Linked DNA regions of Schizosaccharomyces pombe. The protein of the gene in region 1 purifies or fractionates together with the protein of each later gene. This does not show direct contact. Each region holds a gene or a part of one and is shown on either strand. Other genes may lie near its edges.

Region 1 (3,598 bases):
ACGTTTGAAGTTCATTAATTTTTTTTTCCGCGTCTTGCTCAATAGAGAAAGTAGGTCTAGAAATTATCCATATGGGGTTCATCTTTTCTTCAAATGGAAATAACGACTGCTTTTCTACGGTTGAATTATTGGGATTAGGCAGAGAAAACGGACGTGCCGGTAAGCTTGAAGAATCATTTAAAATTTCCGTTAAAGAGTCGCGTCTTTCCTTAGAAATGGAATGCACTGTTTCGATATTTTCAAGTTTGGCGACTTCGGGTAGCTAATTGGGTAAGCCCTTGTAAAAACATTTATCTAAGCTTACTTTTATATCATTTTGAGTTTCATTATCCTCATAGTTGACAGCAGGATAAAACTCCAACTGATCAAACATCGTTCAAAATAATTACGATAATCAGAAAAACATCGAGCACTTTGTTGGTGTTTCCCAGTGAACCATAACACAGCGCTACGTTACTTTGCGCAGATGCTAAGAAACAAAACGCATTAACATCACATAAATTCAATTGAAACTGGTATTTTATCCAATGTAAACTAATAACTTGCTAGATTTCAAGAGTGCGCTGCTATACATGTGTTTATTGTGCTACAAAATTCAATAAAACGTATTATTTTTACCTCTTAATCTTTTAATACTCAAAGAGTTTTTGGATAAACAACATATATCCATATTTCAATTTCCTTGAAAAAAGCTAAACTAAAGTCTGAGGAGACCCCCCAAACAAAGATAACTGAAATAGAGGAGTAGTGAGCAAAAATAAATAAACGGAATTATCTCAAACAAGTTTTTAGAGAAAGAGGTAAACGGTATGAACATTCAAAATTTACTTGGGTGAAATAGAAACTACTCGTTAATAGTAAAGAACTCAAAAACCAGGAGCACTTAGACATATTAAAATCACACTGATTGGTGAAATTTATATAAATCTCTAGCAATCAAAAGGAATAAGGCATCACTTTAAGTAGATGAGGGAGCAGTGGTAGAGCTTGATGCAGTGGGACGGCTTTGAGCAGTACCTACAGGTGAAGCACCGAACTTGGACACATAAGTTTTGAATGTATGCCAAGCATTTTTGATAACAGGAGGAACTCTGTTATCTGCAACCAAACGATCCATTCGAAGGCTAACGGCTTTAATGGATGCACGAGTAAAGTGACTATTAGTGTATCTCATGCGAAGAAAGAAAATATAGCCCACCAACCTGGAAATTGAGTTTTTACGTAAGAAAACCCCAAAGAACAAACGGAACAATAAAAATGTTTCGAGAGAAGCAACAAGTTGCATAGCAGGTTGAAATTGGCTTCGAGTGTACTGATTTAGCAAATTAGAAACACGAGAAGCATAAGACGCAGTTTTCGCGTCAGAAATATTAGGGTAAATGGCAGGCAAAAGCACACTACGCAAGTAAGTGGAGATGTGGAAAGTGGCGTAAATGGCATATGGAGCGAGAGAAAATAGGATGGGACGATCAATCAACATTGAAAGAGCTAAAATAAAATACTGAACATTGTCATCGAGCATAAGACGGGCAAAGAAATGCTTATTCCAAGAAGCACGGGAAGTCAAGTTTGGACTATAAGTTTTGTAAAGGACAATTGCATATGCAACGATGGCACCAAAGGCAGCGCTTTTAAACAAAAATGGAGGAGCGGAACGAAAAGGGATTGCTTGAAGAGCATACAAGACGGAAGAGATTAGCACTATTACTTGCCCCGAAAACCAAACAAACTGGGTGTTCTATAATAAACGGTTAGTAATGTATTAAAAGAGTGAAGACAATATGACACTGAATCAAAATAAAATAATGCTGACAAATTAGTCTATGTTTTAGTAATAGATTACAGTTACGTTATGGAACTAAATAAGAAACTTTTCTTATAATCAACATTTATTATCTGATTTACACATGATAGATATATTTACCTTGACAACAGGTAAAACCCTTTCTTTTAAAGGCTTGACAACTCGTTGTTTTGGCTCCATTATAGCAAAGTTGTTATTTTCAAAGTTTTAAAGATGTGGCTTTTGTTAAGTTAATATCCAGCAAAAAGTATGTTGTAATAGTTGTGATAGAGTACAATGTACGCTTACCAATGGAAGATCCTAAATTTTCCTACATCAGAAAAAGAAAACCTATGGAACTTCTGTGAAATACGCTAGTACACGTTTTGACTAGAATTCTTTTAGCAGGAATATAAGCGCTTAAAAAAGGATTTACGCCTTTGAGTAGCATTCAAGCTATTACAATTAAATAGATTTAAATAGGGGCTACACTCTTTAGTTTTCTAAAATCCAATTGTTTAAGTCTAGCAGACACTCCAGAAAGCTAACATAATTCATTTACGACCCTTGATAACAATGTACAAGAAGCTCTGACTAAAATTTTTCAAAGTGAAATGCTAAAGTACGATGTTGTTTGTTACGCTATCTGTTCTATGTTTTACATGGAAACAATAAATGGATTAATTCTTGCACATTTACTAGTGGACAATAAATGGTTCAGATTCAACATTACTATATCACACTTGTATTGCTCGGCAACCTTCAATAACTTCTATTTAAAAATAACTAGCAAGATCTAAACTGGCTCTAGAGTATTCTCGAAGATAACACTTTGTGGATTCCGTTTTGAGTCCAGACGTTCTGTTAACAACATATCCATACGTAAATTGTTAAGTTATTTGTTGGCGAAGACGAGTACTATAAACGAATTTTGAGAAGCTTGGTATAAGTAAATGTTAGACTGTCGAAGTAATACGCCCTATATGTGTTCATGCCAAAAGAAATCAATAATATAGTTGACAATTTGAAATGCAGTGTATAATTTAAGGCAGTAAGAGACGAAAGTAAAGAGGGAAAAGGAAAATCATGTACTGTTATCACTTTATTCTTCGTTGATTTTCTTCTTCTTTATAATCCCACTATATTTGGTGGATTCATAAACTCGGTTGGTCCATGTTTATTTTAATTGATTTTCGTTAGCTATCTTAAAAGAAATTGGGCGGAAGATGCATCATAATGTTTAAACCAGTTTAGTCTGATCAGACACTAGTAAAAACGAGAAAACAATACTTATCTACCAATGAGTTTTCAGGCATCTATAAATATCGTTCTAATAAAAATCGAAAAAACAATCACAACTAACAAGAAAATCTTTTAAGAATTCTCAATCTTTATAACAGTCAATTTTCTTAAATCTAAGCTAATGCTCGCGAAATTCTTTGGTAGCTCTGAGTTAATAAATCAGAAAGACAAAACAAATCATTCAGGTTGAGTACATTTATACAGTAAGATTCCAACCAAAGCTTCCATATATGATATCTTTTGTAAACTTAAGGAAAGAAATAACGAAGCGGAATGTAAACATTTATTAAGTGTTTATACGTTCCAATACGTTAGATCTTATTATAGCGATTATAATATCAATTTCATATCTATCGCCGTATCGTTAATGTGATATAACAATAGGTTGCGATAAGGAAGAGGTTACACGGTCATATAGCCATACTCTCAAAAGATTAGATAAATTAAATTTTAAGTAGTACTACCTCCTTTTTGCGTTGGTTGAAAACTTGAAAAACTGACTCTGTTTTAACA
Region 2 (3,840 bases), 3.1 Mb from region 1:
ATAGACAGCGCCATTCTATGAAGTTTCTCCTTTTTCGCGGAATTAAATCCAAAAGCTTTGCTACCTGCTGAAGCTGAGGTAGCTTCATTTTGAGATGCGCTTTTTCGAGGATTGTATTTGACTTTCTTGGAACTCATGTATAATAGCGTTGCGGCATGATAAATTGACAATAAATTGAATTTCAATAATCCTAATATATGGATACAAAGGAAATTTTGAGCTTAAACGTAAAAAGCTGGCACAACATTGATATAAGTGAATGACTTGTGGTGAGAGCAGACAACGATCATGCGAGTGTAATCAGCACTTTACTGTATGATCGGCTGTATTAAATACGAAGTAGTGGAAAAAAAATAATAATTTTTGGTTAACAAATACTTTAGTCATTTGGTTAAACAAAATAGATTTTTTCGTCCACAGACCCATTTTAGTTATGGAAAATATATATATATATTTTTTTTTTCGAAAAGAGCAGCAATAAGGAATACGAGGAGGACCTACAAAACAACACGGAGTAATTACGAGATTAAATTACGAATAATAAGTACGTTGGGTATTAAACGAAGCAGAGAAAATATAATAAAATAGCATCATATTGAGCAAAGCAACAAGAACTTCAACCACACTGCAATAGTTTGCAACTCAGAAGAGAAATGAGAGATTGAGCCGAACCTGTTACATTTACAATATATCGAGATGAGAAAGACGTATTTATGAAAATAAACACTCATAGTCATAAGCAAAATAATTGAGAAAACGCATTCAATCTCCTAATTCAAGTCATAATACAACACTTTTGAAACGCAACACAACACAGCAACACATTTTCAAAGTTGAAAACAAAACCATGGTTATTACCCTTGCATTTTTTTGCAAAAGATACTATTGAAACCTTAAAATAAACGAGGAAGCGAACCAAATAAAAATCAAGCGCAACCTGACAGAAACAATCAAACAAATTATCCCGCAGAGGTTTACTTGTTAACAGTGGTGTTTATAGTCTCAGTAGCTTGCTTTTTAAGTTTATCACCAGATCTCTCAAGGGAAGCAACCAAATGCTTGATAGAGCGCTCATTGCATACATACAATCTGGGAAGGATGAAGGCAAACAAAACATTCCAAACAAAGAGAGACTTGTAGGAAAGGAAGCCACTAAGGAAAAACTCAATAAAAGCAGCAACAGAGGCAGTAAAGGTCAAAATAGGGCTCTCAGCAAACAAGATACGTTGGAATTGAATCAACATAACGTTGAAAATGTCGACAATTGAGTTGACAATCCTATCAAGAGCCTTGGAGTCGCAGGTGATGTAGGAGGAACGGAAGTGAGACAAGACACCACGCTTACCGTTGGAAGCGAAAAGACCACCGAATTCAATGATGGAGGTAATCAAAAAGACATAACGGAAAGTTCTGAAAAAGAGGCGAGGAAGATTGATCCAAGAAGGGACATAAACGAGAGCAAGAATACTCATCAAGGTAGAGAAACTGCAAGAGGTGTTCTTCCAAGTCAACACAGACCACAAAGCATTAGAGATCTCAGGATCGACGTTTTGCTTAGTAGTGTTGGTAAAAGGGCAACCGGCCTCCAAAGCAGGGCATTTTTTGTCGGCACCTCCGTGAGCGCCGGAAACTGGGCAGACGGGACTGCTTGTCTCGCCAGGTGTGGATTGAGAGGTGTGGTGGGGCTCGGAAGAGGAAGAAGAGATGTTTTGAATAACGGGATTCTCAGAGTTGGGGAGAGCAGAGGGAAATGAAGTGGCAGAGGGCAATTCGGTGGAAGGGTGAACGGTGTGAGCAGTCAAAGTATTTACAAGGTCCTCAGCACCGGATTTAGCAGCGGCGACATCGGAAGCAGTGACGGAACCGGATTCAAAGGGGTTTAATGAATGTTGTTCAGACATGATTTGCGTGTTATATTCAATTTTAAAATAACAACTTAAGGTAAAACAGTTACTAAGAATCAAAAGAAGCCTTAAAAAAAAAGAGAAACCTTTTAAACTAAAAAAGGGTGCAAGTGTTTTTTTTTTAAGATATAGTAAAAAATAGAGAAAATTTAAAGAAAACTAATTCTGAAAAGTGCCGACTAAAGAAAATAGCTAGTAAAGGACGACTTTTCGGAAGAGCGAAATACTTTGTAACAAAGACTTAAAAAAGTGAATAAAAGATTTTTGGATTTTGCTGTAGGATAAATAAAATGTATATGTATTAAATCCAAAGCCAAGTTCCAAAAGGGTTAACTTTTAAGGGAGATATTGATCGAAAGAAAAAATAAAAGTAGAATGGGTAAATACAAAAAGAGACCTTCACGAGTTGTTGAGAGGAAAGTCAATATGTTTCACTTACGAAACTGTTAGAAAGTTGTTAGTTGGAAAGCTTTGCTTTTATATGGTAAAAGTCAAGTCGGTGGTTGGTGGTTAGATAGCAGTCATAGCGTTGATCATGGAATGACGTTGTTCTTGGCTCAATAAGTCTGTGTCAGCGGCGACTATAGCGATCATGCTTATAATCGGTTTACAGCAGGCTAATGAAAGAGAATTTTGGATGGTAAAAGAAAAACGAAGAATAGGAAGAAGATGGGCGGGAAAAGATGGGTTAAATGGTATGAAAAGATGGGTGAAATGGTATGAAAAAGAAGGAAATGAATAGAGAAACAATGAAAATGGATGAAAAACGAAAGAACGAGCGAAAACGGATGACTTTTGCAAAAGCTAGAGATATTGAAAAAAGAGTAAATAAAGGGAAAACAATGATTAAGTGCAGGAAAGGCTACAAGAGGCGAAAAAAAAGTGAGAAATAGATAAATAAATTCGTGTAGGATAGTTTGTTGAAAGGAGAGCGAAGTATGGAGTTTGATTGTAAAATGTAAAGGAGAAAGGGATAAGAGTGATGAAAAGGAAAAGGATACAACTGAATAAAGAAAGGATTAAAGATTGAAAAAGGAAAGGAATAGTAACGGTGAGAAATGATGAATCATCCACAAGTGAGTAAAACACGAAGAAATTTGTTGTTTAAAAAATTATTTAATATTTGAGGAATTGAAATCAATTAAAACTTTGAAGAAACAAAATTCATTCAAACTTCTGAAGCCTTTTTTTTTTTTTTTTTTTTTTTTGGAAATTTTTTTGACAAAAAATTTATTTCTTAAGAATCAAAGCAAATGTATTTCAAAAAAAAATATATATATATATATGATGAAATAAATAAGACCATACCTTTTCTACATTTAGTAATTGATTTATTTCAGTTTACGTTAATTAATTTAATGTAATTTTATTTCGAATTTTTTATTTTTTTTATTTTTTCACGAATTGAATTGAATTGAATAGATTTTCTTTTTATAATTTAATTTTTTTTGTACAAATCAGTTTGTATTGAAATTCTTCATCATCTCATTATGCGTTGTGTGTCTGTTTATTTACACCCACTTAAAAATTGCAAGCATACCGTATGATGAACAAGAAGGCTTTTCTTGCCTTTTCGTGAAAAGGGAGGGAGAAAGAGAAAACGTATTTAATAAATTGGACATCTCATCGTATGCTAGTATATGAAATTATGAATTGAAATGAAATGTATGGAATTGCATTGCGCTGGACTGAATTGCATAGAAGTGGACTGCATTGCATAGAAGTGAATTACATTGTACTGAAAGAATTGTGTTGTATCGTATTCAAAGTAATGATGTATCATCCTTTCCTCTTTCCTCTCTACTCTACTCTACTGAAACGGTCGGGTTCTTCTCTCCTTTAGCAAATCCTTTACTGCACTCTGCTGTACGGTCTTGTTCCACAGTATGATGTTTAATGAATTGTTGGACAAATCTCGTTACCATCACCAGCATGA

The links. Proteins that work in one complex are often made in the same cells at the same time.
Region 2: the proteins of tts1 (region 1) and rtn1 purify together in Schizosaccharomyces pombe (co-purification; one study listed by BioGRID). This does not show direct contact.

Annotation. Positions count from the first base shown.
Region 1 is NC_003423.3:4,366,775-4,370,372, reverse strand, and holds tts1 (tetra-spanning protein 1), read right to left. Parts: upstream 2,032-3,598; 5' UTR 1,985-2,031; coding exon 1,925-1,984; intron 1,826-1,924; exon of another isoform or gene 1,739-1,825; coding exon 959-1,738; 3' UTR 557-958; downstream 1-556. Other genes in the region: COG complex subunit Cog3, read right to left, coding at 1-262, 305-373. UniProt on the Schizosaccharomyces pombe protein: Required for the correct positioning of the cellular division plane by delimiting the actomyosin ring assembly at the cell equator.
Region 2 is NC_003423.3:1,261,704-1,265,543, forward strand, and holds rtn1 (reticulon Rtn1), read right to left. Parts: upstream 1,902-3,840; coding exon 975-1,901; 3' UTR 595-974; downstream 1-594. Other genes in the region: protein dbl7, read right to left, coding at 1-137. UniProt on the Schizosaccharomyces pombe protein: Required for the correct positioning of the cellular division plane by delimiting the actomyosin ring assembly at the cell equator. Overexpression causes cell lysis.